Linked DNA regions of Alligator mississippiensis. The protein of the gene in region 1 purifies or fractionates together with the protein of each later gene. This does not show direct contact. Links are inferred from orthologs where the notes say so. Each region holds a gene or a part of one and is shown on either strand. Other genes may lie near its edges.

Region 1 (11,234 bases):
ATGGCATTTGCAGCAAGCAAGACAATGGTTCGTTCTGAAAAGGAGAATCTGGCTCTAAAGCCTAACTTGCTCCTTCTGGAAGGGAAAGAAGTCAGCACCCAGTGGTCTCCTGTAAGTCTGCAGCGCCTGGAGTATAAAGCCACTTCTCTTGCCTGTAGGTACGTTCCATTTTAATGCATCTCAGCCCTGCTCAGTAGTAGCAAGAGGGGCTGATCCTTACGTTCTGAGGCATATTAAGACAAGACATCTTCCCTTTTCAGACGTGTCCTTCCCTTGAGCAATTTCTGGTCAACTGTTTGAATTAATACCCAACTTGCATTTGCTTACTGGGAGTAAACTGTCCCCTTCACTTTGTCAGTGAAAAGCAAGCATAAACAATTGAACTTGCCTAAAAAATGCCATCCCATGGCATGTCTAGAAAAATGACAGCAACCTGCTAATTACACGTATATGGCTCATAATCTAAAAGCCCCTTTTTTCAGTATGATCCCAAATACTTACCTCCAGTCAAACAGTTGTGTTGTGAGCAGAAAATTCACCCCGAACCCTCCCATCCTGCCTCTCCCAAATAAAACACCCATAAATGCAACTTTTAAAGTAGCTCTGCACACTAGGCTTGGAGCCACCCTGTATACTTGCACCTTAAGTCTGCTGTCAAAGTACAGCTCACACTGTTCTTCTGTGCCTTTTAATCCCCTTCCAGTTCCTTCTGCTTCTTGACCTATTTTTCCCTCCCCGACAAAGAAACATTCACTTTTCTCTGGCTGCAGAATCATCTCAGGGAAGCATTTTCCTAAACCTGTTACCCACCTTAATCTATCCAGCTGCAGCCTTTGCTTTGTTGTGTTAATCATATTGACAACTCCTCATGTGGATGCAGGCCACAGTGCCAGGCTCTGAGGCGGCACCAGGTTTTGCAGTTTACACTTTGAATAACCCAGACTATTTGAATGAATGGCTTGACTGTCAGATCTCTAGCCAATCCCTAAGATTTAAAAAGCTCTGACTCCAATCTGTGCTGTATTTTTTACATTTCCCTTAATGAGTTCTTATTTGTAAGCATTGTGGGCTGGATTGCTTCATCTAGAAAGGGGACTAACCATTTCAGAACCAGCTTGGCTTAGTGACATGGATGAGTATGTCTTGTCTAATGCCAATAACCAGGGCAGAGACCTTGTTTTGCTCTTCAGAATTTAAATCAAAGCATAGTCATATTTTTAACGAAAGAGTGCTTTCAAGCATCAGGGTGGTTGTAGTCCGCAGGTTTGTCATTGCCCTGAAATAGAATAGTTTTCTGAAAGCATACTGTTAGGTTTACAATAATTTGGATTTTTAAGAAGTATTAGCTTTACAGCTGAATACAAGGCATGACCTGTGGCCTAGTAATGCAGCTGACCACAAGGCAGAATGATAGCTAGGCCTTTGCTTGTGTCAAGTAATCATTTTAACTGCAACAAGCATTTTCTGAGTTAAAAAGTGAATCTGTGTCTGTGTGCTAAAAAAAATCAGCTACAGCTAGAAGTAAGATAAGACAGAGAAACCATTGTTTGAGCTTACTAGTTGTGTCCTTGAGAAGTATCTTCTACTGTGTAAGGTTTTGCTAACATAATGTTACTGTTACTTAACTTTTAGCTTTTAAAAAAGTGCTAGTTCAGCTTAATAGAAATATGCTGTTACAAAGATTTGTAGAGCACCGCCCCAAGTATTGCTTTTTGTTAACCATATAGTCTTGCTTTGTTGTAAGAAGTATAAAAGATCGCCTCACCCTTGAGGGGGGGGCATTTTGCCTTTTGCTGGCTTTATGGTCTTTGCTCAAGCAAATAAACAGCTGTCTTTCTTTACCCGCATTGTCTGTCAATCAAATTACAGCTAGACAACAGACCTTAGGGAGGTTTCTCCCACCACATGGTCCCGGGATTTTTGTGTTCCCGTAAATGCAACTGTCCTACGGCATTTATTTCCTTTATTTCTGCATCCTGAGATAAAAGATGAATGTTCCAGCACTTACGTGCACTGGCAGCTTCCCTGTGTAAGGCCAATGCAATCCAGCTCAGAAATCTCTGTGGGATTGATCCCACAGGGCATTGAGAAATCTCAGTGACTGCAACCTTCAGTTGGACTCCTTGGCCCTAAGCAATGGCCCTCAAAAGCAGACGCTCTGACTGCCTTCCCAGCTGTGTTGCAAATGAGGCTTCAGCAAGGCAGCAACACTCCCTTTCCCACTCCCTCCGATGAGGATTTTAATGCAAATACCACTCTGATGAAGAATGCCTTGCATTCAAAAGCTTGTTTAAACTTTATTGCAGCCATGTAATTGGTTCAATAAAAGATATGACCCACAAAAATCCATGTCTCTAACAACTTTCTTGTCAAGACATTAAAAAAAACCCTTGCACTTGCACAGGGAATGTCTTGGGGCTGCCGGAGGTTAATTTTTATTTGCATTTCTTTATAAATGATAGATCAACAACAGGGCAAACTAAGCTGCGCACACTTCCTAGGACTTGGCTCATCCTAATGTTAATGCAGCTTCCCTGTAAGCTCTGTGACTCCTTACATAAATGGGTGCATGAATCTGCAAGACACAGCTGTGCTTCATACTTTTGATTATTCAGGATCAAGGCATGCCAAATCTGCAACTTCTAGTATAATCATAAAACCTAACCCCAGATGAGTATACACAGAGCCTTCGATGCAATTTGAAAACAGCAGTGATCTCCCCAGTTTCACAAGGTGGACTTATAACCACTAAACTAGAACACAGCACCCCACTCCAAAGGGACAGAAAACATTAAGGCTCCTATTCCCATTTCCCCTGGCAGGCTTCAATTGCAGAAGAGAACCTTGCTTAACCTGTCAAGCATAATTTTAGTGCCTGGATATATTTTATGGCTGCTTGGACAGTGCAAGTACTTTCAGGGCTTGATCCTCTTTGGAGGCATTTAGCAAACCACAGTGTGAACTGCCATAATGACAATCACAGCTGAGGTTCTATAGATTTGCTCAGGCATTTTAGTCTTATGAGACATACTATCACATAATGAAGGGAATTAAGAAGACCATGGCTTGCATGGAATGAGGGGTGCTTACTGTAGCATCCACTATATCTGCAGGTCACTTGACTAGGGTTTGGCAACATCTTTCTACTTTGTCTGCTGTGCTCCTGTGGAAGGAAGTAAAGAGGCTGAGTCAAGAGTCAGACATTCTGCCTCTGAATGCCCTGCAGCCGTGGCTGGGGCAGGCTGAATTGCAGAGGAGGAGCTGCCAGCATGGTGGATTCCATGCAGAGATGAGGCAGTGGGTGCCAGCTGTAAGAATGGCCATTTGCTGGATCAGACCATAGGTCCATCTTGCCCAGTTACCAGTATCACATAGTGACAGAGAGGATATGCTGAAAGGGAGAGGGAACTGGGTATGACCAGGGTTTTTTTTCCCTACTGTTCCTCTCCCACTTGCAGCCTTCAGCATTTAAGGCCCTCTCTACACATTACAGGTGTTGTGTGATTAACTGGTCATTAGGGCAGTTACCTTGGGCATTTGTACACATGTATGCACCACTTTTAAAAGCACCTGGTGCTGTCACATATTTTTGTACAAATGGTGACATGAATGTCAACGCTGAGAAAATGGCAGAGGCACGCTTTTGAACGAAAACACATCAAAGGTGTTTTAGTTCAAAAGTGCACTGCCACTATTTTCTGCAAGCTGATGCGCATTCACCATTTATACAAAACCATGTGACGCAGCGTTGGGCACATCAGCTTGTGTGCTCTGCAGACTCGATTAATTGAGTCTGCTCCGACACGCTGGATTTCTGGCGCCTCAGAGCAGACAAAAGTACGTGTATAAATGCCCCTTGAGACCAGCTACACATGAAGAGTAGCTATCATATGATAAAAAGCTCCAACCAGCTATCAAGTTAGACCTTGCATATGTGTACTAACTTTTATAGCTGGTTTGCTATCAAGCTTTAATTTGTACCTGTAGCAGGGTCTTCCCTACAGCTACGAGCCTGTGAGGTGAGAGGGCTCCCAGCCACAGGGGCGCAACCCCTGAGCCCTGAGGATCACAGCTGCCATGATCCCCAAGGCTTGGGGGTCCATGAAACCCCTGACCCACACAATGTTCTTGGTCCTTGCTGCGCCTCACCTGCAGCTGGGACTGAGAGTCCTGCATCTGGTAGGGCTTTATGTTCCTCATACACATCGTGTGCAGCTGACCCAGAACCCCGTCAGTTGTGGGGACTCTCAGTCCTGGCTTCAAGTGGCCCCTGCAGCTGGGGGCCCCCTCAGCAATGGAGGTTCCTAGGCATGGGTGCCTGAGTCTCACTGATGCAAGAAAAGCCCAGGATTGGGCCCCTCCCTACACTTACAATAAGGCAAGATTGGATTTAATTCACGATCCCACAAGTGCGCTTCCTGCCATGTACATGTGGCATAGCAGGAGGCACAGTTGTGTGGATCAGGCATTAGGGCCTGGCTACGTGGTAATTTTGGGTGACTCCTGGAGCTCATAACACTTGGACTGTCTGAGCATTAAGGCTAGGGACAGACATTACACATACACTGGTTTAAGTGATCAGAAACTGGTATAAACCTGTAACAGAACATAAATTCAGTGCACGTAAACCAGTTTCAAAGTGTCTGAAACTGGTTTAAGATAAAGCCGGTTGAACAGACTTAACTGATTTGGGTCAAACTGGTTTATGCAATGTCTGTTCCAGACCCTTTCGTGGTTTAAGTTAAACCAGAGTCCCACAGCCTCCAAGATGCTTTGCAGCCCTGGGCTGGGCTGGGCTAGGCTGTGCTCTCTGCTCCACAGAGCAGGGCTGGCCCCACCCCTCTGCTCCCTAGCCAGATCTGTGGGGGAGACTGCAGGCACAGCAGGGTCTGCCTGGCTTCTCTCGCTGCTCAAGCAGGGATTCTTCCCTTCCTCCCTCCCATCTCCCACAGCCTGGACCCCAGGCCCTAGGCATGTGGTATGCTAGCTAATGCTGAGAGGTGTCTGTGTGTCTCCAACTTCACTGGGACAGGACAAAGGCACACAGAACAGTGTCTGCATAGGGCTTTTTAGAGCTAATCAACAGGTCAGCTGGTAATATCCCTCTTTTCCTTCCTTTGAAAAAGTTGTTTAAGAAAAGCTTGAACTAATGAGAGAGGCTTTTGTTTTGTTGATGGGCTGATAAATGCTGTGTTATCAGCCCTCTGCTGGCTCCCTCATCTGTCAGGTTTGCAGATGGTACGAAGAAGAAAGGACAGAGAGATTGAAAAACTCAGTATCATCAACAGATGCATGCAGTGCACCCCCCCCCCCCGCCTTTGCCTCAGAGTGCTAGCCTGGGACTGGGGTCTGGGAACACTCCTGCCCCTTGAGCAGCCAGCAGGGTAAAAGCTTGGGACTGTGCACGCAGGGTGCGGGTTTACACCCTGCCCTAATCAGAGCATCCTGCCAGGGCCTGGCCATGCACTCGCTCAGCTCAGCATTGCAGAAGGGAATAGAGGGCTGCTCTAGCACCTCCCAGCTTCTATCCTGAGCCACCGCAGGCATGTGCCTGCATTTCTGGAATGAAAAGGGAATGTCTATTCACCTCCAAATCAGTTCAAACCTTGCAGGTTAGGCTTACTTTCAAAGATTGAATCAATTCAGGCTCAGCTTTTTGAATGTCTGTCCCTAGCCTAACACCTTACAGTGGCGTTAAGCACTCACTATGCAGCTCAAAGTTATGCCACTCTAGGGCAGGATTATCTCTGATTTGCACTACCCAGCTTCTGTTCCATCTCCACAGATATACCACCCAAGTTGATCTCCAGTATCCCAGGATCTCTTACACCCCTGACCAGAGAGCAGGGATGGGAGCCTGTTCTGGCTCACCAGCTCTCTAGTGGCAACTCAACAGGTACAGCTCCTAGTCCTCTCCCTGCTCACCAGGCCTCTAGTGGCAAGTCACAGCTTTGCAGATAGGGGACAATCAGAGAAAGTTTCTAGACCAGGGGTTGGCAACATTTTTGGGCAGTCCCAAAAAACCCTGCAACCTCCACTTGGCGTGCCAGGGGCAGGCGGTGGGGGAGCTGCAAGGAGCCTGATCCCTGTTGTGGTAGCTAGGGTTGCCAGCTCAACTGAAACTATTCTGGGAGACTTTTTTTCCCCCAGCATGATATAATGTTATGAATACTATATGCCCTTGGAGGCTGGGGGCACAGCAAGCTCCCACAGGCAGTGGTTGCGCTGTCAGCAGTGGGAACGGGGCGGCAGCAAGCGGGGAGCTCCTGCAGGCAGCCACGGTGCTGTCGGTAGTGGGGGGCCAACTGCCGACCGGTGACCACCTGCATACAGTATTGGCAGTGTCGGTGGTGGCCAGCAGCAATCGTGGACTGCCTGCAGATGCTGCCGGCGATGTTGGTGGCAGAATCAGCGGGTGCACGTGCACCTGTGTGAACCCCCTATGCATTGCCAATGCATAATGTCATTCATTGTACTGTGCAACCTGTTCACAATATCCATCTCCCAGATTGTTTTCAATAGTCACTGGGAGATTGATGCCGACTCCGGTAGACTTCCGCCCAATGCGGGATGCTTGGCAGCCCAAGTGGCAGCAGATCCCCTGTCTCTTTCCCACCGTGCACCCTAAGGTGCGTGCTAAGCCAAAATGCCTTTGCATGCCCTGCTCTGGCACCTGTTGCCGGGGGTTGCCTACCCCTGTTTTAGACCAAGCAAGCGACTGCTCCAAACTCCAAGCTACCACCATCACCCATCAGCATTTGTGAGGCTCACAGTGCGAGGTGTAACCGGGCCCAAAGATCCCACTGTGCTTCTGCTGTACTGCAGAAGGGGTCCAAGGTCTAGCTGTCAGCCAGCCCACCCCACAGCCCAGGGGCACTGGTGCTCTGCGGGGTGTAGGGGCGCCCCCTGCCCCGGCAGAGCCAGCAGTCCTGAGGAGCTCCTCCCCGGCCCGACCGCGCTGCAGTCCCTGTCCCTCAGGGGATCCGCCTGGCACTGCAGAGCGGCGGAGAAAGCGGCGCGGCTGCCTCGCCGGCCCGTGCGGGAGTGAGTGAAGGGAGGGCAGGGGCGGGCGGGGGCGCTGCTGCGGCCCGGGACCGCGGGGGGGCGCTGTTGCTACGCGGCGGCGGCAAGGGGCTCCCGGGTGCCGCACGTGGCCCGGGGAGGGGGAGGCTATAAAAGCCTCTCGCCCCGGCACATGTGGGCTCGGGGGAGGCAGCCCCGCCGCAACCGCGGCCACGGGGCTCAGCCCGCAGCCGCCGAGCCGAGCCGAGCCGAGCCGAGCCAAGCCAAGCCAAGCCAAGCCAAGCCGGGCAGGGGCAATGCGCTCCAACGCGTCCGGGCTGAACGGGTCCCTGGCGGGGCTGGGGCTGCAGCGCCCGCCCTGGGTGGCCTCCACCTTGGCCGCCATCCTCATCTTCACCATCGTGGTGGACATCCTGGGCAACGTGCTGGTCATCCTGTCCGTGTGCAGGAACAAGAAGCTGAGGAACGCGGGTAAGGGCAGGGGCGGGGCGGGGAGCGAGTGGGGCAGGTCCCGCGGGGCCCGGGGCAGAGGGCCGCGCCCTCCTAGCGACCGAGGACTGCGGCGCGGCGCGGCGCGGGGCGGGGGGCGCGGAGGCCGGCGCCCTGCCCCGGAGGCGCGCGGCGGAGCAGCCTGCCCGGCCCGGCGCAACTTTTCCCCTCCGGTTTTTCCCCAGTTCAGTGCCGGTCCCTCCGTGCAGCCATCCCGTGAAATTCTGCCCGGGGCACCAAGCCCCCAGGTGGAACAGCTCCTTTCCTCTCAAAGGTGTTTCCAAGGGGGCAGGAAAAGTGAGGGCAGTGGGGTGATGCACGAGATGCTTGCTGCGCACAGACCCTGCGAATAGCCTAGTGCACAGCGTTGTAGTCTGATGCGCTGTAAGCGCCACCAAATAACAGTGTATGGACACTGCTGCGTGGTAACTGTAGGTGCTGCGCAGTTAGTACTTTATTTAGGAAGTACTGAACTAAATGCATGGTATCTAAGACTCATTAACAAATGTGTAGAGTCAGACAGTAGGGGTGGCAGGGAGCTCCACAGGTCATCTAGTCCAACCCTCTGCCTGGATCATCCCTATCCAGGCCACCCCGCCCAGCCATAATTTGCCAAATCAGTCCCTCATGCTTTACGGATTATTGGTAAATCAGGAACGAAACAAGGGACTGGGCAAATTCTTAGAGGAAAGGGGCCCTGGTAGCTGTTGAGCATGGAGTGAGGGGCACGGCCTCCGAATTGGAATTTAGACAGTAAATGCTGGAGGCTGCAAGTGAGAGAGCATCAGTGCGGGGGAAGAAAACATCCTGGTCATACCTGTTGCCTAACCTTTTAGGTAGTGGGTGAAGGAGGTCTTCTGCTCAGGCCATTGAATTTAAATAGGCAATCTACAAGAAATCATGCTTGGGTAGCTTCAGTGTCAGAGCAGTCCTGAGAGTCAGTCAGGCTCCAAGGCTGCTCTGGGATTCACACATGCCAAGTTGGCATCCTAGCAGCAAGTCTGGCTAGTGTCTCATTTTCCTGCTTTGTCTTTCCATGTGTATATGGTGCTGTCTGTCTTCTATTGGTGTTTCGCAGTACTTTTCCACTTCTTTTGCTTCCAACTTTACTTAGGACCTTCCCCATCCACTTTATCGTACCTATGCTCACAGCTTGGTAACAGTTTGTGTTTGATAGCTGTAGCCATAGTATTTTCATACATGGCTGACACAGCAATCACTGTGACTTGACTCCTTGTTGTTGTATGTGTGTCACAGCCATCCAGGTACAATACCCTTTCAACATCTCCTCTTTGCCACTGTGTGACACAGGAGACTAGGCAAGATTGACCTATGGTCTGAGCCAGTAAATGGCAATTCTTATGTTCTTAACTTCCGCAGTCATTCTGCTTTATCAGGTCAGCCCAGCTGCTGTGCATATTATACAGTGTCTGGGCACTTACAGTTCTTTTGAAACTTTCACTGGAAAAGGAAAAATAAGAATCTGCCCTGCTAAATACAGCAAAATCGCAACCTTTTTTTTTTTTTTTTTTTTTTTCCTGTGTCTCAACTGTTGTAAAAGACTACAGAGCAACTTGGAGAAATTCTGTTTTAATGCCACTGAACTCATCAGCTCAAGGGAGAGCCTGTCAGATGCCTGGTCGTACTACAGCTTGGCAAAATATCTGAATCCAGACAACTGAACTCATACTGTGTGAACAGTTTCATACTTCCTTCTAAAATTAAGCAAGTTACTTGACAATAATTTGCAGTTTTAATTTGTCATTTAGTCACATAGGGAATGCCAGTAAATGTGACTGAGATGAAAGGAAGCTGCTTTTCTGTATGTTTACCACTGATCTAAAAATTTAGGGCTGGATTCTCCTATTGCTTGATTGATGTAATCACTCCCGAAGTCAGTTGAGTTGCACAGTATAAAACTGGTGCAAGATCATAATCAGATTTTAGAACTCCAAGACAAATTAATGAGTTTTCCTTGATTTACTTGAAGGGTGGGGGTGGAAGAGGAGGTCGTTTATATCTGTGGGATTTTTGCAAGAAGGATATATTCCTGGTGGGGGTGTGTGGGAAAAGTGGTATGTACCTCAGTTTTTCAGTTGAGAATCAGCAATTTGGATGTCCTTAGGAGTAGACTTGCACCAAGTGCTGTGATTTATTTATTTATTTATTTTTTGTGCCTGTTTTTGTTGTTTGTTTATCTGGAGGGTAAAATGAAATCATTGATTTTTTTTTTTTTTTTTTTTCTCTTGGAAACTTCATTTCTGTGCTCTGCATCTTACAACAGCCCAGTTACATTCCCACTCATACTTTAATGCTCACTCTTGTCAGATTTCTTCTGCCTTTCTCCTCTTACTGGCTAAAGCTGACTCATATAGATCAGGTGAAAGGGTACCCTTATGATCATAAATTCTAGTTGGTTAGACGGTGGAACAGATAGTGCTGTAACTGATCCAGTAAAGGTGTAACAACTGGATAGACAGTAAAAATAAATTCACAGTTAAATTTTAGGAGAGAATGGGCGTGTGTAGATGAAACCAGGGCCCTAAATTGACGCGGTGGGTTTTAAAGAACAGCGCTTCAATTTAGGGCTGATTTTAAACCTCCATGTTGTGCCCACACCCTGCTGACTTACCTGCCTCTCCAGTAGAGCAGTCCCTGGGCTGCAGGGAGGGAAGGCTGGTGCTTCCCTCTGCAGCAGTGGTGGCCTGCCCCCCCCCAGTGGCACCCATCCATAGGCACCTGGCTTGGGTGGTCCCAGGGGGCATTGCAGCCATGGAGGGCCCCTGTGCAGCTCAGGCAGGCTCTGGGGGAGGGGGATCAGGCTCACTGCTTTTCTTGGGCGGAACTGCTTTCCCAGGCTGCTGCTGGGCTGTCTGCAGGACTTTCTGCAGAGCCGTGGAGCTGCACAGAGCCCAGTGCTTCACTCTGCAGCTGTAGGGGCAGCAAAGTAAAACTCCTTGAAGGCATTTTATTTTGCTGTGCCCCAAGTCATTTAAGGCTCATTATGCCACCAAATTTCCTACTGCGGCTGGAATTAATGCACAATACGCCGCTGAGGCATGCAAACACCGACACCTATAGGTCCATTAGTCTTACCTCAGTCCTGGGGAAGCTCTTTGAGAAAATTATCTAGGAGCACATCTGTGAGGGACCAGCAAGGGACATTATGCTTAGGGGCAACCAACATGGGTTCATTAGGCACGGGTCCTGTCAGATTAACCTGGTTGCCTTTTACGATCAGGTCACAAAATCCTTGGATGCAGGTGTTGTGTTGGGCATAGTCTTTCTGGACTTCAGGAAGGCCTTTGACACTGTCTGTCTCTCACCCCATTCGCATTAAAAAACTAGGCAACTGTGGCATTGATGCCTACACAGTCAGATGGGTCACCAATTGGCTAGAGGGCTGCACCCAGAGAGTGGTGGTGGATGGGTCATTTTTGACCTGGAGGGATTGTGGGCAGTGGAGTCCCCCAGGGCTCGGTCCTCGGGCCTGTACTGCTCAACATCTTTATCAGTGACTTGGATGAGGGGGTGAAAAGCACTTTGTTCAAATTCATGGATGACACCTAGATGTGGGTAGAAGTAGGTATGCTAGAAGGGAGGGACAGGTTACAACTAGATCTGGACAGGTTACAGGGGTGGGTGGATGAAAATAGGATGGGAATCAGTACTGACAAATACAGGGTACTGCACCTAGGGAGAAAGAACCAGGAGCATACCTA
Region 2 (10,431 bases), on another chromosome or scaffold:
AAACAGGCCTTGGATCTGTGCAGATAGTGCATATTATTTTGCAGCTATCTAGTTGGTCTAATAAAAGATAGTGCCTCTTCCTCAGGAGTTTTGGATGCCGTGTGACAACTCATACACCCTTGGGGACAGCCCACAAGCAGCTCAGCAGGCAGGGAGCAAGCACAAGGGGGGATCCATCCACTGCTGCCACTATCCTCAGATGATCTGGGAATGGAGGGAGCCCAAGGGCTGGTCCTGCAGGGAGCATATGCACAGGGTGCTAGGGACAGCAGTGGTGGGTGGGTTCCCCCTTCCTGCACTCTCCGTGCCCCCCGCAGTGGTCCCTCACACACAGGTGGGTGTGGGGGTCTACACAGCCCCACTGGATCTACCCCTGTCCCCACACAGCACGAGGTCTGGCCTTGGACTGCGTGTGCACCAGCCCATGACTGCACGCATCTGTGCTTGTGATCACAGACCGGCTCCCAGTCCCTGCTGCATGGCCTTTTCTCCCCCTCTGCTTCCCCCTCACATCCCTGGCAGATCCATCTGCGCTGACCTTTCACGCTCACAGACACTGGAACCGTTTAAGCCCCCTGGGTGTGTGCTTGCTTGATGATCACTCATCCCTTTGTGAGGAGGGACTCCAAAAATAGCCTTCTCTGAAGACCACTTCCTTCATCCCCTGGGTGTGGGCTGCCGTCGATCACGAGAGCTGGGGAAAGAGCGTGTGTTGTGCCATCTGAGTGGTGAGTCATCCTCACCTGGGTAACAGGGACCCATCTCAAGGGAGATGCTGTGAAGGACAGTGGCCTGGAACCAGGAAGGAGCCACTCCTTTCAGGACCGCAGGGTTTCTTTGGTCCTTCTTCCTCCTTCCCCGTGGCTGTGGGAGGGTCTTGTCAACATCATGCTGGATTGGGGAACCACTGCTAGGGCTCTGGAAGTCCCTTTTCATTCCACTCCACTTCTCTGGTAAGGGCCTCCTCCTTGTGTGAGAGGGGAGTTCAGCTGGTGATGACCTCTCTGAGCTGAGATTGCCAGCAGATGGCAACTGGAGCAAACTGGCTGCATCTACATGAGATGGTTACTGCGCAGTCATTTAGTACTTGCATACCTGAGTACTGAATGACTGTGCAGTAACCAGCATTACTGTGCAGTAGCATCCCCACATGGCTTCACGGCGATCCTGACTGCACAGTAGCATCGTGTCACAGTAGCATCGCATCACAGTTCATGCCCTGCGACGCTCCTGTACAGTACTAATGAGCTACTGCGCAGTAAGCGTCTCGTGTAGGCGCAGCCACGGTGTCCAACCTGTGCATTTCAAATAGCCTACTATTGTCAGATTGTCATTGCCAGCCCAGTCTGGATATGAGCCAGCTGCACAGCTCACTGGTCATCCCCTGAGCCACCCAGAACTCCCCTCCCATCCAAACTGTGCCAGTCTGTCCTAGCTTGTCCTGGCTCTGGTCCTCTTTTCCCAAGGGGCTGTTCCCCTGCTCTGTCTATGCAGGCTGACATCTTCCCCTAGCACCTACCTGAAAATGCACTCCTAGCCAACAGGCCCTTCTCTAGTTAGAGACTACTGTTCACTCTTTCCTGTTTGTGTCCTAGTGATATCCTTGTCCCATGAGCAAGAGAGCAGGGGCTGATTTCCAAGGGGGGAGACCTCTGCTTTTAAACTCAATATCAGTGGTTCTCAACCATGTTGGCACCTCTCACTGGACTCGAGGCTCTCCCCATAACTTTGGTGAGTTGAATAGCACCTCATTTCAAAACTAACTTTTGAACTAACTAAAAAACTTTTGAACTAACTAAAAAAAACTACCATGCTGACCTCCTTGCAGATGGGCTGGGCAGTGATGATGAGAGAGAAGCCAGGCAGGGACAAGCTTGAGCCCACGGATGTCTGCTTATCTCTCCACACCCTGTGGCACCCTTCAAAGGATCTGGTGGCACCCCAGGGTGCCCTGGCACCCTGATTGAGCATCTTTTCTACCTGCAGTTCCAGGGCACAGTCGGCAGGTGGCACTACGAGCACAGCAGTGCCAGGAACGTTGCAGGAGCAAGGGCTTTTTTTGGTGATTTCTTTCTTGGGGCCAGGCATAGAGCTGGGAGAGATGTTAGATAAGGGGGCATGAAGTGCCCTTCATTTCACTTCAGGCATGAAGTGTTCCTACATTTGCCGTTTCAGCTTCTAAGCAATGTTGCTGTTCCTTTTCCCTCTCCCATGTCCTGGCCTTTCTGTTGTCCTGCACTCTCCCCACCATGCCCAGTGTGTGGGGACTGCCTTCCTAGAAGGGTGTAGCAAGCACAGCTCATGTCTTGAGCTCTGGTGGCATCAGCTAACAGGTGCTGTGGACTCAGTAGCAGCATGGGAGACTGCTAGGATAAGTCAGACCTGGAGGTGATCCTGTTTCTCTGACTCAGAACTGAACCAATGTCCCTGGGGTCCTGCTTACATTTCACCTGGTCAAGTACCAGCAGTTTACTTACCCCTCCCTGTTCCCCTACCTTGCAGTTTCAGTTGGATACAGATGCAGCTGTCCTTAATCATTGGGCAGCTCACCAGTTCTTCTCTGCAGAAGTGACTGCATCATACTGGTGGCTGAATTGATGTGGAAGTGTTTGTAAAGGGTTTGGGGATGAGGGTTTTCATGCCTGGCATCATTCCTAGGAAAGACTCTGCTTCTGATGAGCTCCATCCTGATTAAAACAATCAGGGCTGGAGGAAAGCATCTGGAAATGCTGTAAATGCACCCGGATGCACACATCCCTCCCCTGCCTCCTAAATAAGCTGACCAAAGCAGTGGTGGGGGTGTCAGCATACAGCTCTTCCCTCTTTACAAGTGTTGCATGGCCCTTTTGGGCTTCAAGATCTTTTCAGTGCCCCACCAGGATTGCTGGTGTGCAAGTCTTCTCCTCTGTAGCTCTTATCCATTTAGCACAACCTCCTTGCCTGGTCTCTTCTCTGTGAGTTTCCATCTCATTGTAAATCTTCCTTGCTGCTCGAAGCCTCTGTATTGATCCCAGCAATGGGAGAACTTACTCACCCTGGCCAAGCTTGGGTGTCTCTAGCCAGTAGTCTCCTTTTCAGGCACCTTCTAGTCCAGCCATTGCTGGGATAGCTCCAGATTTCTTTCTCTTTTGTCTTGTTTAGCAGGAATCTATGGAATCCAAGGAGCCCATCATGGAATTTCCTTCTGGCTCCAGGTGTCATGGAGAATATTTAGCAGCAGAGGGAGGTAGAAGGCTCTTTATGGCAATACATTTCTTGTTTGATGAACAGATTGGGGAAGGATGGTGACAGCCACAATATTTCCTGTGTGGGGGCTGTTCTGGGAATAGCCACCAGAACCAGCCACCTCTTTCTGAATAAAAGAAAGGGGCTGTATTCCAGTTGCTAATGTGGAATTGAGCATAGTTATCTACCAGGACGTGGGGAGGGATGGCTTGAAAGCATTGTAGGCTACAAGATCCTAGATCTCTAGGGAAAGGCATACAACACTAGCAGTTAGTCAGGGCATCAAGGTTCATACTTGAGGAAAGCATGGCTTGGGCATTTTGCAATGGGCAAGGAAGACCTTTTGCTTGCAGAATTCCTAACTGCATTTCCACCTGTAGCTGTGGCTTAGTTGCTGTAGCTTAGTGCATTGTCCCATGTAAAGTGTATTTGGTGTATTGCAGGTTGGTTCCCCCTGGTTTGGACTCTTCCCCAGATGCGCAGTCAGGACAGGAGACACTGAGTGGCCCCAGGGCAGGTAACCTCAGCACTGAACACTTTGTGGCCCCAGCCCAGGGCTCAGGGGTGACAGATCTGCTTTCCACAGGCCCATTTTTCTTCCAGTTACCAAAGACAACAGAGTGTGATGTTGCCACTGCATGTTACTTGCTCAGTACTGTTGCGTGTGAGCCAGCAGAAACTGAGCAACACCAGTGTTCATCCAGTTGGGGCTGCAGTGGACTTGGGGAGAAGGGCCCGCCGTGTTGCAACATGGCAACAAGGCTTGCCATGTTACAACCCTAGCAGTACCTGATCTCACACAGGATTCAGGCTCTTAGCACTGGCAATGTCAGCCTGGGGCTTTTACTAGCACCAGACTCAGGACAAAAATCTCTTGCAGATGGAAGGGTTCCTGTCTGGTACTGGACCCCTCTGCAGTCTTCTAGGAAAGAGAAGATGAGTCTTCTGACGCAGTCGCACATTGTACCCTCTGTGCTGCACAGCAGGTGTCTGCCAGCGCTAGAATCATAGAAAATGAGGGCTGGAAGGGACCTCAGGAGGTCACATCTAGTCCAACCCCCTGCTAAAGGCAGGATCAGCCCCATCTAGATCATCCCAGACAAAGTTTTGTCTAGCCAGGTCTTAAAAACCTCCAAGGATGGAGCTTCCATCACCTCTCTGGGTACCTGTACCAGTGTTTTACTACCCTCCTAGTAATAAAATTCTTCCTGATATCTAATTTAAACCTCTCTTGCTGCAACTTGAGGCCATTACTCCTTGTTCTGTCATCTGCTGCCATTGAGAACAGTCCAGCTCCATCCTCTTTTGAATCCTCCTTCGAATCAGGTAGTTAAATCCCCTCTCATCTTCTCTTCCCTAGACTAAATAAGCCCAGTTCCCTCAGCCACTCCTTATAAGTCATGTGCCCCAGCTCCCGAGCCATTTTTGTTGCCCTTCGCTGCACTCTCTCCAACTTGTCCACAGGTGTGGCCTCACCAGTGCTGAATACAGGTGAATAATCACTTCCCTTTACCTGCTGGCAACACACCTACCAATGCAGCCCAGGATGCTGTTGGCCTTCTTGGCAACAAGGACACATTGCTTGCTCATATTCAGCTAATTGTCCACTGTAACCCCCGGGTCCTTTTTTGCAGAGTTGCTGCCCAGCCAGTCAGCCCCAGCCTGTGCTGTACATGGGATTTTTCTGTCCTAAATGCAGGATTTTGCACTTGTCCTTGTTGAACCTCATGAGATTTCTTTTGGCCCAAGCCTCCAATTGGTCTAGGTCACTCCGAATCCTATCCCTATCCCCCAGCATATCTACTATTCCCGCCAGCTTGGTGTCATCTGCAAACTTGCGGAGGGTGCACTCTATGCCATCTTCCAGGTCCTTGATGAAGACACTGAACAAAAACAGCCCCAGGACCGACCCCTGGGACACTCTACTTGGGCAAGCTGGATTAGTTTGACAGGCTGACAAACATGAGGCCTGGGCCCCAGCTAATGCACCATCAAGCTCTGTGCTGCTGAGAGGCTGGGTCTAGCGCACCAGTGCTAAAGCATGAAGAGCAAGGACTAGGCAAGCAGGGCGGCCGGGGTCAGCAGTGCTGGTGTGACGTGCTACGGCAGGGGAGGTGGGGAGGCAAACTTTTTGGCAGGTGTGCCAGAAATTAGCCCCACACCCTCCCAAGTGTCATCCCTTGTCCTTCCCCTGCTTGGTGTGCTGCTCCACTTTCTGCTTCCATCCCTGCACTCCCTGATCTGCTGCTCTGCTCCCTGCTCTACCACTGAGCTTCCCAGTCTGCCACATGCCCCACACACAGGTTGCCTGTGCTACAGGCTGACCCCTATGCTGTGGGATCACTTAAGGCTCCAAGCCTTACTCTGCGGTGAAGGTATGGCCCATGCTGGCCTTAGCGTCAGCAAAGCAGCTATCACCCTTCCCTTGCACGATGAAGCTAAGGATTTGCAGGCAGGCTGCCTGGCGTTCGACTGCGTCGGTGCCATGGCTGTTGTGAACGAATGAGGTGTGCCTGTGCACGCCAGAGACCTGCCTCTTGCCCTGCACTCTTGCAGGTGTACGCGGGACAGGCCCACTGGTCCCCGGGGGTCCCTCATGGCTGCGGCGGAGGGTGGTTTTCTGCTGGCTCAAGCTGCAGGGCTCTAACCCTGTCCAGTCTCCCCAGGCCACCCCACCCCGCAGGACGGAGGTGCCTGAATGGGCCAGAAATTGTTTCCTGCACCCACTTGCAGGGAAGGTGTGACTGTGCCCATGGGCCAGCAGGGGGGTGGGAGAAGCACGTGGGCCCCCTGCTCAGGGGGGAGGCAGAAGGGAGCCAGTCCCCACCTGCGCATACGTTGAATGGCAAAGCTTGGCACAAGACTCCATTTCCCGACATGCAGGGCGCACGCCTCCATTTCCCAGCATGCAGCGTGTGGGCGGCCACGGCTCGGGACTCTATTTCCCGATAGGTCGCGGTGGGGGCGAGTGTTTTTCCCAGCATGCGGTGCGCGGGCAGAGGCCGCGGCAGCAGCGCCGGTTGACGTCAGGCGGCGGCGGAGCGGATATCCGGCCGCCCCGCCCCGCCCCGCCCCGCCCGCAGCAGCTCGGGCCGCCGGGCTGAGGAGAGGCAGAGCCGCCGCCGCCGCCGCCGCCGCCATGGGCTGCACGCTGAGCGCCGAGGACAAGGCGGCGGTGGAGCGCAGCAAGATGATCGACCGCAACCTGCGCGAGGACGGCGAGAAGGCGGCCAAGGAGGTGAAGCTGCTGCTGCTCGGTGAGGCACCCGCGAAATGGCGGCGGGCCCGTCCTGTCCCGTCCCGTCCCGTCCCGTCCTGTCCCGTCCTCAGGCTGGTCCACGACCCCCCCCCGCCCCGAGCTCCTCACAGGTCCAGACATCTGGCAGCAGGGGAGCTCCCCCCTCCCTCCCTCCCTCTCTGCCAGATTTGGGGTGACTTGGTGCCAGGGCCGGGGGGGATGTGGCAGGAATTGAGTCATGAGCAGAAGTGGCTGACACGGGGGGGGGCAGGACGCGGGCGAGCCCGGCTGGCAACTGCCCCGGTGGAGACGTGTTCTGTGCGCGGAGCTGGGGGATGGCGATGGAGGGGGCGGTTTAGCTGTGGGGGGAAGCCTGGTGACGCCTGTCATGTCACGGCCCCCCCCCGGAGATGTATCGGAGGCACTACTTTTGGGGGGATGATTTAAAAGCGGTGTGGGAGGTGGTTTTCCAGCAGTGACCCGCGTGGAAAGCAGGGGGTTAGCGCGAGTCCCTTCTGTCATCAGCTGCTTTTTTTTCAAGTTTGTCATTTTTTGTTGGGGACGGGCAGGAGCCTGCCTTGCATCCATCCCTTTGCTGAACTCTTGGTTTCCTCAAGAGACGGCGGTAAGAGTCCTCCTACGAAGGACCTGCACTATTGATCTTGTTTTTGGCCAGCCGGTGCTGTGAGCGAGCGGTGCCCTGAGAGCTGTGGTCCTTCGTGTTTGTGCAGATAACACTGCTTGCTAATTGGTTGCGAGTCTCACAGCCCCTGAGGGGTTTTGTTCCCTCGGGACTTGCAAATCCCGCAGAGGAGGGTGGCTTGATGGGGTTACGGTGTTTGTAGCAAGTTTGTCTAAATTGACTTGTAGTTCTCAGCCTCGCTGAACTCGAGGGCTCTTTCATAACTCCTGTAAATTGAGTAGTGCCTCATTTTAAAAACTATTGTGTGTTTACAGTGCTTACCCCCTTGCAGAGAGCCTGGGCCATGGGGGTGGGGGGTCAGCCAGCCTGGGTCTGCTTCTCTGCTGCTCTCCTCACCCCTTGCATTACCCTTCAGAGGATCACACGGCACCCTGACTTTGAGAATCCCTGATGTCAGGTTTTCCTGTGTGCCATGGATGTAGAATACAGTCAGCCATAAATGCCTCTCTCAAAGGAGTTTACCGTTGATAGCACCAGATGTGACTTGCCCAGGACGGTTGCCCTGTTTTGCCAACCCCCCAGGACAGCTTTGGATAGCACTATATATTTCACTGGTCATCCTAGTCCATGGCAGGGCCTGTGTAATTATAGAGAAAATGCTGCGCAACCAATTAAGTCGGTAGCAGGGTGGATCCACAAATGGCACCGAATTTCCATGGGTTTGGATGGCAGTTAAATAGCTGCTTTCCAGAGACACTTCTAAAGGAAAAATGAATAGCTGCTCTGGAATATCTCCAAATATAGTTACTCTCATTCTGGGTTAAGTGTTCACATGTGGATTTACTCAGGAATAGTTGTGCTTTAATTCTGTAGCACCTTAATGTGGATGAGGTTTCTCCTTTCTATCTGGGGTAAGCTACCAGTCTCTGCAATGTCTCCTGGCAGTGAATTCCACAGGCTGATTGCTCACGGTGTGAAAAAGAGCCTCCTCTTGTTAATTTTGAGCCTGCAACCCAGTAACTTCATTTTCTGTCCCCTGGTTCTAGTATTGTCAGGAATATTAAATACGAAATCCCTATTTACTATGTCTGCACCACTTAATGTTTTGTAGACTTGTCATGTCTTCCTTGAAATAAATGTCTCTGTTCTAAGCTGAAAAGTTTTAGCCTATTTAGTTTCTCTTCTTATGGAAGCCCTTCCATACCCCTGATAATCTTTGTTTTTCTTCTCTATACCTCTTCTAGTTCTTCTATATCCCCCCCCTTGAGGTTTCAGAAGCAAGCTTAGTGGTGCCTTGAGCATTACCAGTTACGAAAGGGAATCCTATAAACACATGTTCTTTGTATATAAAATCTGGGCTAGTTTATGTATGGGTAAAGCAAAGCAATCGGTTGCTAAGATTAAATGTACGTACTCAGGCCTCAGTCATTTGGTTAACATTTCAGAAAGCTGAAGGAAAATGTAAATTTTAAATAGTTTGAAACCTAGTGTTTTCATTTAAAAAAATAGTACAATGTCTAGATTGGGGAGAGGGGGAGTATTTTATTTAATTTACCTGTAAGAGATCTTTGAGGCTATTTATATAAACTGTTGCAGTGAAGTCTGGGAGGGGGGGAAGTATTTTGCTTGGGGTGGGGGGGAATAAAAAAAAAAGCTTGAGAAGCTGTAGTCTATTTTCAGAACACAGTTTCCATGTATTGTGAAGTGATGGCTGAGACACAGAACACAGGGAGCCATCTCACCTTCTGACTCTGGTAAAACACTGGCCTCCTTTAGTATTTCTCTGCAGAATTTTTGTGGTTTGGGAGAGCATGCTTGCATTTGCACAAAGTCTACTTGTTCTTCCCAAGCACAGTATTAACAGTGATTCTCAACCAGGGTGTTACAGCAGGTAGGGTGCCTTAATATCCTTTCCAGGGTGCTGCAGGGTGCCAAACAGTGTTAATTCAGTTAGGCATGCAAACATGATTTGCAAGGTGAAACCTAGAGATTTCAAATAGGAATCTGTGGTGTTAAAAGCATTTGGACTTGTTGAGGTCTTTCTGAGTTCTTTGCAACAGAATGGCTCTATTAGTTTTCACTCAATTTGACTACAGAAAACCAAGAGCTGACATTTTCCAAGGAGGTGTCTTGAGCCTAAAAAAGCTGAGAACCAATTCCTTAACAGAATCTTCCAGCATGATGACAAAGCTAAATTGCTACAAGATACAGCTGTGTAAGCTGCATTCACTTTCCCTGCCTCCTTTCAAAAAAAAAAAAAAAAAAAAGACTCCAGTATTGAAAAAAACCCCCAATCTTCTCCCCCCCCCCCCCCCCCACTGTACAGCCAGTTTCTGGTACAGTATTTACTGCTTCTTTGGGTTTCTACTTTTCTTTCTGTTTCTTTATCTTTGCCCTTATTCAGAACACCCCAGAAGCAGCAGAGGAGTATGGGTGCTTGGTCAATTTATCATGTTCTCCAAGCCATTTCATGACTATTTTGTGATCACTGGTGTAAAACAATATAATGTTTATTTCTGTGGTTCCTTTTATGTGAGGCTCTCGCATTACCAGTTATATTTAAGTTTCACAACATTGTCTGTTGGGAAATGGTTACACCCATTGTCAAGCTACATAAGCTGAAGTCTGGGGTTTGCCCAAGGTCATACAAGCCCTTGTAAGATGGAAGGCAATTATGTAATATAGTAGACTCTTGTTAACAGGTCCTTTTGAACCAGTTTTGTAGATAATTTAACTGATCGGGTAGACCAGTCTTCATCACCAGGATAGAAATTGTTGACCTGTTTCCAACAACAAATGTGACTCGGGTAGGGGGGTGGGGAGGAAGCCATGGTAAATCTACGCACAAGAGAGGAACTCCAGAGCTCTTGATTTGCACAACACTCCTCCTTTTGTTATAGTTTGTTTCCATTGCCTCCAGGAAAACTCTGCTTGGCAGGAACAGACGTGCGATTTAGCTGACTCTGGGTTTTTCCTGTTATGATGAGCTGCATGATATGGGAGAGCATAGAAATTGGGGCATTTCTTCCTGGGCAGTTTGTGCTGCCCTATAGTCCATTGCACAATAATTTTCAAAGTGTTTAGTGTGCAATACCTTGCTGCCTTAAGGAAAAAAAAAAAAAAAGCTCATGTTGAATCATTGGTGGCAAAAATACATCCTTTAGTGTAGAAGGCAGTTCCATTGTTGAATCCAGTCAATGTTATTCCTCTGTATGCAACATAAGTGATGAATAGGGGAGTCGTTCCCCCCCCCCGACCACGAGAGCGCTGGTGCCCGCTCTGACAGTGAGCACTCTGGTTGGTAGAGGGGCATGGGGAGTGCTTG
Region 3 (10,666 bases), on another chromosome or scaffold:
CCTAGTTTTCTTGTTTGAGAGATGACAACGTACCTAAGCTAACATACATTAAGAAAGGGACAGAAGGAGAAGGCCATTAGCAAAATATTTAGTTGTTGATGAAAATATGCAAGCAGGGTGTGTTCTGGGGATGGAACGAGCAGAGTCCTTCTCACTAATACCCACTTGGCCTACAAAGCACAATATTTAGTTTCGTGCTTACTAGGGGTGCACTGGTAGATTGTTTGGGTTGATACTGTTATGCCTCCTTTAAAAAAACAGCTATTGGCCAATACTGATCCAATTTCTAATACGCAGCCTGGCAACTTGAAGAACAGTGTCTGGCTGGTAAGTCTGTTGTGGGAGAAAGAAAGGGTTGGGGGGGGGGCAGATTGAGGCCCCTGTGACAAGGGAGACAGTGGGGCTGGGGCAGGTGCTGCACAGGCGGGGCAGGGCGGGGTGTGGGACAGCCACAAGTGGCTCATCCAGGGGCTGTGGCTCCTGCCGCTGCATGCACCATGGGGGGGGGGCCTGGACTGCACTCGGGGCAGGCAGCGATGGTGCTGGGCGGGGAGCTATGGGGGAGAGCTGCAGCAGCCAACCCAGAATTCACTGTAGCTCTACTAATGCTGCCACCTGCCCTGAGCTGAGCACAGCCCAGCCCAGCCCCTGCCAGGAAGAGCCTAGCACAACCCCGACCCCAGCCCTACAGCTGCAGCCTGCCCTGCCCAGATCTGGGGACATCCCCCTCTCCTATGCTCTCCCAGGATGTGCGCAGCCATAGGACGAGCTATGTCTTTGTGCTGCATGTGCCCTGCCCCAGCCGGGCAGCACCTGCCTCAGCCTCACTCCCTACCTCACTGTGGGGGACCTTGATCTACCCCCTCACACCCCTTCCCTCCCCTTCCACCACAACATACTTACCAGCTGGACGCAGCTCTCCAAGTCGCTGGGCTGTGCTCCTCGCCACATACATGCTGTGTTGTGGCTGTGCATATGCACAGGCCATTTATTAGCCACACCAGGCTGATTTCCAATACAGTCAATTTTCTTTATATCGGTGCTGATCAGATACCGGACCAATGTATCAGTGCATCTCTAGTGGTTACAGTTGGTATTTTCTCCAGCTGCAATGAATAAACAACTCTTTATTATACTGGAAATTTGAGTTTGCCCTCAATAAGAGATACTTTCCCCTTTGGGGATGGAAGGGGCTTCAGAGAGCTGGAAACTCTCTCATCCTGATGAACCACATGGCAGAGTTCTCTCCTTCCAATGAAGTGCATGAAGAATGGTCCCAGGCCAAACTGTGAGGCCTGCTTGAGATCAGAGATGAGGCTTGCAGCCAGGGCACCTCTGCATGGTTTGCAAGGGCCATTTCCAGTTAACCTTTCCTCTGTTAGGAACTTGGATCCAGCTGTTGTAGCAGAGAATTAAAATAATGCCATTAATCAGGCAGTGCTGTTTGATAATAAACCTTTGCCCATGCAGATCATTCATGTTGAACATTGGTAGGTGTTTTGGAGGAGGTATCTAGTGTATTATCAATATGAAGCTGTTGGGATGTGATGAGTAAAGCAGGGGACAAAGTGTTTAATTCCATTTTGTATTGATACCTAATGTTTCATTTGCTCTTTAGACATCTTAGAAAGGAGTCTGGTAGCATTGGCTCCATTTTGGAGGTTGGAAAGCTGAGGCACAAGGTGAACTGAGTAGCCCAAGGTCAGCCAAAAGGATAGTAGCAGATTTTGGAGTACCTAAGTCTGTTCAAGGATCTGTCCACTAGGCCACACAACCTCAAGTGAAAAACCTAGAGTCAAATCCTAGAGACTTTCCTAAGACAAAATTCCCTTTTTGCTCAACAGAGTTTGGGCCACTCTTCTGGGGGGAAATGAGCACCAGGAATCACCTCAGCTTTCTGGCCTTATTTCTGGGACACGGAGAGTAAAATAGCAAAGTCACCAGCCAGACTCCCTCTTCCAGAGCTTAGCACATCCACCTGAACAAACAAGCTGAACACCCTTCACAAATCACCATCAACAGGGCAGGTCTAGGTGTATAGCTCTCTGGCCTGCTCCCTGTTCCTTCTGCTAAAATGAAAGTCCCTGCTGTTCTGCTAGCTAGTGACCAAATTGACTTTGGCTTTCCACCACTAGAGGGTGGAAAGGTACTAAGCACATACCAGTGAAGTGAGGCTGATCTCATGAAACCAACTAGGAGCAGAGGGAAAGGAAGCCTCACTCATTTCTTGGCCTACCTGTGATCACCAAGAAGGGACTTTCAGATGGGCCTCTGGTCAGATGCCTGGGGTTTGCTCCTGAGATGCACCTCTTAGGAACCAATGGGAACGGGGAACCAAGGTGGCTTTATCTTTGTACTGTCCGGATTCTGGGCTGGCTAGAGATCACAACAGTCTGAGCATATATTAACAGTGACCCTAGGAGGTTTAGAGCAGCAACCTACAGGTGTCCCATAGCCCAGTCTCCAGGGTGGCATGTAATATGGAGACTCCTTACCCCAGGGCTTGCAAGTGCAGGGGGGCAGCACGGGGACTAGAATTTGCTTTCCCTATGATCATGCTTGTGTGTGCGCGCGTGTGTGTTCATTTGCATTCCCTGTATACTCTAGCACATGAATTTCTTGGCAGGAAGGATGATGCAAACAGTGAATTTTCAATGACTGTGGCAGGTTATTTGCAAATTCTACGAGAACTACTCATCCAGTTTGGGAATAGAAACAATATCACATGAGTTATGTTATGTGTCCCATCCAAATCAACCAGTGCAGCTTGAAATATTGAATTCTTATAATAAACTGATAATATAGGCAAATAATTGCTTACAAGACTTGGCTACTGAACAATTTTAAACAATAAAAAAAAGTTGGAAGTATACTGTCTGTGAGTATCCTAGTTTCTAACAGAAGACTGGGCAAAAAAATAATTGGCTTCTCTTGGCAAGCAGTGACAAGCATGGGTTCTCAGACTGGGATCACAGACAGGGTAAAAAGAGTTAAAACCACCTTACTCTATAGTATACAGGCAACCCTCGCCATTTGTAGGGGATATGTTCTCTCATCCCCCGCTAATGGCGAAATCTGCGAATAAGGCACTGTGTTCATGAACGCAGTGTTCCCGGTGGCGATGGGGGGGCACAGCAGTGGCGGCAGGAGCCCAGCGGCAGCAAGCGCAGAGTACCTGAGGAGCTCCAGTAAGTGTATAAAGTGTATTTAAATGTGGGTTCAGCACTTGTGAATATTAGAAACCGTGAATGCCGAACCCACGAATAGCAAGGGTTTCCTGTATAGCTAAATGGGAAAGATGCTTCTCAAAGGTAGAGCAGTTGGGGGTCCCAGGCTAGAAAAGGGAGTCCCACTATTGACTGGCTGCTGATATGCTGAGATGACTACCTGTCATTGTCACTTTGTACTCTCCAACTGCAGGCTTATAGTCATTTTTTGTCTTGGACTTAGATTGTAAGCTCTTTGGGGAAAAGTTTTATATTCTGTGTGTTTTACGGTGCCTGACAGTGGGAACATGGTCCATGAAAGATTCTTATGTGGTATGGTAATAACAACAACAGTAATAATAATGATGATGATGATGATGATGATAATAATAAATGAATTGTTTGTTCTGCCCAGCAATCAAAACTGTAGGGGCACTGGTGTGGGAAATCTGAAACTGAGACTGTTAACAAATAAACAAAGCATGTATGAAAATTCTCTCTTGGGCCTCAATTTGATGGACCCTTGACAACACTTTTCTTTTGAGCCTTACTTTCTGTGTTTGGGGTTCACTATACATATATGACACTGACATTTCATACAGAAAAATTATGCTTCTATGATGAGCAGAAGCAAATGAATCTTAGAAGGAAAATCTAACTGGTCTGGATTTCTTGTTGACTTGCAGTTTAGCCCAAATGCCTTCTAGGGGCTGGTGTAATCAGTATGTTGTAATATTTTAAAGGTATCAAGTATTTTCCTTCACCAAAAAAATTTCATTGATTGGCTAGTATGGTGGGCTCAGTTTTGATAGCATGTCTGATGACTGCATCTGAGATGTGCTCAGACTGGCCAGACAAGACATTGATTTTCTTTCTTAAATTTAGTCTATATTAGAAAGTTGCATCTCTAGCAACATTGGTACAATTAAAATGATACAATCCCTTCAAGTATGGACACTGGTGAACTGGTATAAAAGTGATGGAACATACCTTCCTATGTATATGTATAACAAGATAATGTTTGGTTCCAGGGACCCAGTGTAGTTCAGCTATCAGATCCACCTGCAAAGGAGCTATATGTTCATGTGTGGGGTGAGGGGATTCACGTAATGACTTTAAAGGACTATAGTACTGTTAGCATGATGGTCCAGGAATTATGCAAGAGAAAAGGATTTTTGGGGGATAATATCTTTTATTGGATTAACCACATAGCCGGGATAAAATTAAACAAACTTAAGAAAGCAAAGCATTCAAAAGCTTCTCTAGCTTTATCTCAACTATACGGTTAGTCTAATAAAAGAGATCACCCCCCAAAATCCTTGCCTTTCATTTAAAAGGCTACATAATGGGAGCTGGGCTCTTGCAGTTAAAGCAATGCCAGACCTCTAGAAACTGCAGCTATAGTGAGCAGGGGAATGGTTTGTCATCTTTAAATTTTACATTGGAAAATAAGATTGCTTGGAAAGAATTCCTGGGCATGGTAGTGAGTCTGTTCAGGGCTGGGAAAACGGAGAGGCTGTACAGATGTGGAGAATATGGCTATGTAGTTGGCCTCTGGAATGGAGGGGAAATGGAGACAACAGATAGCCTGGAGCCAGGCTGGGTAGCCTCTGCGGCTAGGGGAGGAAGGAGCAGGAGGAGGCTATAGAAGAATGGGGTGGGGGGTATTAAGCACCTTTTATAAGAACAAACCTCTGTCAATACTAGGGCCTGTACTGTTATAGCTATTTCAGGAAAAGCTAACCCCTATATGAAATAGCTACATTAACACAAAGCTTTGTATAAAGCAGATCTAAGGTTCTTCTGTCATGCTTGCTGCCAGATCTAGCTGTACGTTGCCATTGAATGGATAGGTCTAGTGTCTGAAATAGGCAGAACTTGGATTCTGGTTATGCGCTGATGTTTGAAAAGTGACTGCCCATTCACAGGTTTCCAAATCCTGCTTGTTGTAACCCAGCCATGGCATCAGTGGAGATGCTAGAACCGTTCTAATCATTGGCTTCTGCATGTGCTTATGTTGCTTCCCTATTTAAGGCATTATCTAGGGTCTACGCCAAGTGAACAGAGCTGCATCTTTGGTTTGCATCAGGAATACAGCACCTGCACCTTTTTAATAGGTAAGAAGTGTGAAGGGTGTCGCTGACAGGGCATGTGATCTGCCCTGATGAATGTCTTGATTGACTAGATCCTGGCAGCCAACCTGTGGCATGTGCCACAAGTGTCATGGGCAGCCTACGTGTGTGACACGCGGTAGAGCAGGGAGCAGAGCAGCAGCTGGCACAGGGAGTGGGAGGACAGGGGAGGGAGTGGATGTGACACTCGCGGAGGGCACCGGGCTGACCTTGTGGCACAGCTGCCAAAGACTGATGTTTGGGGCCAACCTTGCTGGCAGGCGACCTGGGCCCCACACGCTGTGCGAGTGCTCGGCCCCCGCCCGACCCCCTGCTTTGCTTTCTGCTCCCTGCCCCCGCCGCGCACCACGGCCCAGGCCGCCTCGTGGGTCTGGGCCCAGGGAGCCGGCGCTTCCCCGCCGCTCGGGGGAGCCCCGTCGGGCTGCTGCGACCCCGGCCCCAGCTGCCCCCTGTCCTCGGGGCACGGCTGCGGGCGGGCCTACCCCCGGCTCGGCACGCGGGACGGGTGGCGGGAGCGCGGCGGCGGCGGGGGGCGGCTCCGGGCCTGGGGCCGCCCACGGGCGGGGCCCGGCGCTGACTCAGGAGTTTCGGGCGCCGCCCGCCCCGCCCCGCCCGCCCGGCAGCGAGCGGCTCAGACCCCGCCGGCAGCCGGAGGCTCGGGCTGCGCCGCGCCGCTGACCGCCCCCGCTGCCGCACGCCCGGGCCGGGGCCCAGCCCAGCCCAGCCCAGCCTTGCGGCGCCATGGGCTGCACCGTGAGCGCCGAGGACAAAGCGGCCGCCGAGCGGTCCAAGATGATCGACAAGAACCTGCGGGAGGACGGCGAGAAGGCGGCCCGCGAGGTCAAGCTGCTGCTGCTCGGTGAGGCCCCGGCCCCGGCCCCGGCCCGCGCCCTCCTTGCCTCCATCCGGCGCGGCCTCCCCCGGCCCTGCCTGTGCCCCGCGCCCCAGCTCCTCTGCGCCCCGCCCCGGCCCGCGCCGCGCACGCCCCCCGGCCGCATCCCAGGCGGTGCCCCGAGCCTGGCTGCTGGATAAACCCTCCCCTGAGCGCTTCCTCCATGGGCACCCCGAGCTTGACACCCACTGCTGCAGCTCAGCTGCGCTGAGGCTGCCGTGGGCATCCCAAATCCAGGCACCTAATAAGCACCCCCTGATGCCCCAGGCTTGGGGACCTGCATCCCTTCAACCTCACAGATAAACTTCTAGCCCCACCCCTCCCCTTTCTTAGATGCACCCACATGGCTTGCAGTCTCCAGTGAACTCCCATAGCTGGCCAGTGACAGCCCCCAGCTGGGTAAGATGAAGCCTTTAGCTGTACCTGTTCACTTCTCCCTAAGTACAGCTTGCAGTTCCCATAGATTGCCCCAATAACATACTTGTCCTTCACAACCTGTAGATACGCGCCACTCAGTGTGCTCCTGAGACTCTGGTTCATACACCCCCATGGTGTCCATTAGGTCCTTCTTTACCCCACTTTCAGGCCAGACAGAGCCTCCAAAACAACTCCTCCCATTGTGTTCCTCAAGTAAAGAACTTGCTCCTCCTAGGTACCTCCTCTCTCTTGGTTGCACTGGTGTCCCTCTGCACCCAGCTGCCTGTCCCTCTAGCAAGCCTCCATTCCACCTCAGCATACCGTATCCACATCCTGAAATACCACCCTGTGTGTCCACATATCCCCCTAGCCATCCAGACACACCACACTCTCTTTTTCTCCCCACTTCCAAAAACGTTGTTCATCTGTCCATATTCATCTTCCAGTGACCCTGGTCAAATATACTCTTGTCTGTCTGTTATGCTTTTCCCCTGCTCTTCAACTGCATTCCCATCACTGTTTTCCCCAACGCCCCCTTGTATGAACAGTCCTGGAGAGAGCTTTGTGAGTGCCTGGTTCCCAGCTGTGCCACTTGTGCTGATGTGGGTGATGAGCTGTTGATGTTGAGGGCAGGGAACACCCTGTTAGGCAGAGCGGGAGGTGCCTGCTGCTGAGGGTGATGGTGACAAGGTTGTGGGGGGGGAATTGGAAGCCCTCATTCCACCTCTGACTTCTGTGATGACTGCATAGTGCAGCCAGCTGTGAGTTGGGGTCCTCCCCTGGGCAATGCAGCCCAGGGAGGCAAAACTATATTTGTTTCTTAGTCCTGCCTTTCTGAAACTCTGCTCAGTCAGACTGGGCACACAATTCTCTCTTTACCAGGAGGTATAAAGAGGGCCAGGGTAGGTAGGTTTCTCTCTTTAATCTTAGGTTAGTGGGAACTAGGGCTCCTGCAGCTGTGGTCAGCACTGTCTCTCAAGAAACCTGCTTCTCTTGCCCCTCCTTTCTCTTATCCTACCCTGCCCCCTTTCCTTCCCTCCCTCTCTCCAAACTAGAAAAGTAAACTGGCTGAAAACGAATCCTCCTGCTTTCTTAGTCCTTTCTCCCTTGTGAAGGAGGAAGCCCACAGGGAGGGGTCATCAGTTGATTTTCATTGATTGCTAAAATAACGGTCCAATGGAGGGAAATACTTTTTGCAAGGGAGAAAATGCCTCAACTTTGGCACCTTTTGGATAACTTTGAAGGGTGTATTGCTGCATGGAAAATGTATCCTGACAAGCAAAGTGAATTCAGTACTCCTTGATATTGGCTGCAGTTTGCTGCAGAGCAAATGTTGCTATGTTTACTGCTCCTAAAATATTTTTTCAGCTTGTTCTCTCCCTTTTTTTAGTTGGCAGCAAACTTTCAATCCAGCCTGAAGACTTTTCAGATTTAGGATGGTCTGATGTTAATAAGGATAATACTTAGCACTTGCATAAGGCTTGCTGTCTTCAAAGCACTTTACAGATACTAATCCCAGCTATCTCACAGCTCTCTGTTCTTTGCCTTTGGGGAAGTAAGCACATTTTAAAAAGAATTCCTAATTGGGTTTCATTTTGCTTCTGAAATGCCCAAGGAGAGCAATTCCTGATTCAGTTTTTTAAACCTGACCTAGGATTAGATAATGTTCACATAGTGAAAGAAAAACTTACTTGAAGTGGAAAGCTGAAATATTATGGGGTGAAGGGCAAAGAGGATATAAAAAGTAGTGTGACAAGAGAAAATCATTGCTGGTTTAAGCAATGCAAATAGAAAATGTTTGATGTTGATTTTTAAATAGAGGAAATGGAGTGGCAGGAAACAATGGTGAAATTGAGCAGCCATGTATTTGCATCTGAATAAATAATATCGCCTATTTTAAAATGTGCCTTATGGACAAAGCCATAATTTCTTGATTTTTTTTTTTTTTTTTTTTTTGGTACATTGTTGGCACACAACGAATATTAACATTCTTTTAAGGGAAAATCCCTGGGTATATTTGTTAGTAGGCCAGACAAATTGATTTTTTTTTTAAAGGTATTTCACTATGCAAAAATAGATCCAACTCTCCATGGTTTTGGGATGTGCTGGTATGGTCAGGGCTGACAAGGCGGCTAAGGCGGCTAGGTCATGATCTCATATCGAGGTCAGTGGCTGTGGGGTAGAAAGATGGCTCCCTGACTTAAAGGGCTTTTCAGTCATTGGGATCTGTTTGCAGAATGGGGTGGGGGCTTAGTTGGGGAAAGGTCTAAAAGCCCAGTTTATGGAAGCATGTATATGGGTAACCTCACTTGTGCAATGTGCTAGAGCTTGTTTTTCCTTTACAAGCAACTTGGTAGAAATTGAAACACAATACTTGCATTTCTTGTAGTGCTTTTTTTTTTTTTTTAAAGATACTCATCCCCCTATTTATTTTTAAATATTTATTAAAGCTTTTGAATGTGGTGGGTGTGGCATGTTTAGTAGTACAAACAAAAACCCATGCTGGATTTTTTTTTTCTTGTTCAAGTTTTGCATCTGTTGGCCTGTGTAGTTTGCAACATAAACATGCTCACAGTGGCCTGTGGATTTGCAGCTCGCTAGGTGAGTTTGCTGTATAAATAAGATGCAGGGCAGCAACCGTATCCATATAATACTAAAAATAACATCCTAAGGCATTTGACACTTTGTATTTGAATTTCCACCTGTGTTAAGTAGAGATGACAGGCTCTAAGAAACCTATTTGTATAGTAGTATGGTTAGCACTCTGATAAAATCATCTAGATGAAGTGGATACGCCCATCAAATATGTTCCAGGCATAGTCAGGGTTTCAATGAATACCAAATGTATACTAGGTTTGCAAAATTAGAAATCTGTCAGATGGCTAATTCATAAATAATACTATTTTCCATTCTTTATAGTACTCATTAACAGAGGCCTCTATCCTGCAAGCACTTACGGTCATAACTTTCCTCATATGGGGAGTGCTTGTGGGCTAGTCACATGAGTGAAGTTTAAGTATGGATGTAAGTGTTTGCAGGAGGAGGGCCAAAATGACCATTAGTGCTTGATTGTTACCTGTCACAATAAAATGAAAGAAAAGAAAATGTCTTGGCAGCCCCGAGTAGATGATTAATGTATGTGTTCTGCTCTCAGTCATGCTATATGGCTAGTGCTTGTTTTCACATGTCCAGTGTAGAATGGATTATTTTATTCCCAAATTGTACCTTTAGGTTGGAGAGGAGTCAAACATAAGCCCATTTTCCCCCCCCCTTGAAGTGTCAGTATTTACCAAAGATGTTTCTGATCTTGGTGGGCTTTCTAATGCCAGAAATAGATAGAAAAATTAAATTGTTTCAAGCAGCTGTTCAAGTGTAAATAGTGCTGAAGTCTTGAGTCATTATTGCCTTATTTTTAAGATGAGGCATGTCTGGAAAATACTTAAAAATTAAATTGAAGGGGTTGAAAAAACCCAGGCTATTCTCTGCAAAAACCAGTGTAAATAATTCAATTATGGAGGATACTTTTGTCTAGATCAGTGGTTCTTAACCTCTTCAGACTCGAGGCACCCTTTGTAAAATGCCAGCTTTTAACTTTCACTTATTTTTTGGAGTACAGAAAAATAATAGAGCCATGTTTTGTTGCAACAAATTCAGACCACAGCAAGTCAGAATATTTTTGGCAGCATGGATTCTTATATGAAATCTCACACCAGGTTCTTTGGGTAAATGTGATATCTTTTATTAGACCAACTAAAATAGTTGGAAAAAATCTTCTTTGCAAGCCTTTTGGTATAAACACCCTTTTTCAGGCAGAGGGAAACACTCTGCCTGAAGAAGGGTGTACGTACCAGAAAGCTTGCAAAGAAGAATTTTTCCAACTATTTTAGTTGGTCTAATAAAAGATATCACATTTACCCAAAGAACCTTTTCTGCCTGTGTCCTTAGATCAACATGGCTACAACCAACACCCCTGATATATGAAATCTCTGGGTTTATTTTATGAATTGTGTGTAGGTGTT

The links.
Region 2: the proteins of MTNR1A (region 1) and GNAI3 purify together in Homo sapiens (tandem affinity purification; 3 studies listed by BioGRID and IntAct, with this or other methods). This does not show direct contact. The link is inferred for Alligator mississippiensis from reciprocal best matches to the Homo sapiens genes MTNR1A and GNAI3.
Region 3: the proteins of MTNR1A (region 1) and GNAI2 purify together in Homo sapiens (tandem affinity purification; 3 studies listed by BioGRID and IntAct, with this or other methods). This does not show direct contact. The link is inferred for Alligator mississippiensis from reciprocal best matches to the Homo sapiens genes MTNR1A and GNAI2.

The regions. Positions count from the first base shown.
Region 1 is NC_081825.1:68,921,056-68,932,289, forward strand, and holds the start of MTNR1A (melatonin receptor type 1A), read left to right. Parts: upstream 1-7,167; 5' UTR 7,168-7,319; coding exon 7,320-7,494; intron 7,495-11,234. Other genes in the region: uncharacterized protein LOC132248557, read right to left, coding at 642-776.
Region 2 is NC_081837.1:34,291,091-34,301,521, forward strand, and holds the start of GNAI3 (guanine nucleotide-binding protein G(i) subunit alpha-3), read left to right. Parts: upstream 1-6,276; 5' UTR 6,277-6,364; coding exon 6,365-6,482; intron 6,483-10,431. UniProt on the Homo sapiens protein: Heterotrimeric guanine nucleotide-binding proteins (G proteins) function as transducers downstream of G protein-coupled receptors (GPCRs) in numerous signaling cascades.
Region 3 is NC_081835.1:43,289,275-43,299,940, reverse strand, and holds the start of GNAI2 (guanine nucleotide-binding protein G(i) subunit alpha-2), read left to right. Parts: upstream 1-5,960; 5' UTR 5,961-6,079; coding exon 6,080-6,197; intron 6,198-10,666. UniProt on the Homo sapiens protein: Guanine nucleotide-binding proteins (G proteins) are involved as modulators or transducers in various transmembrane signaling systems.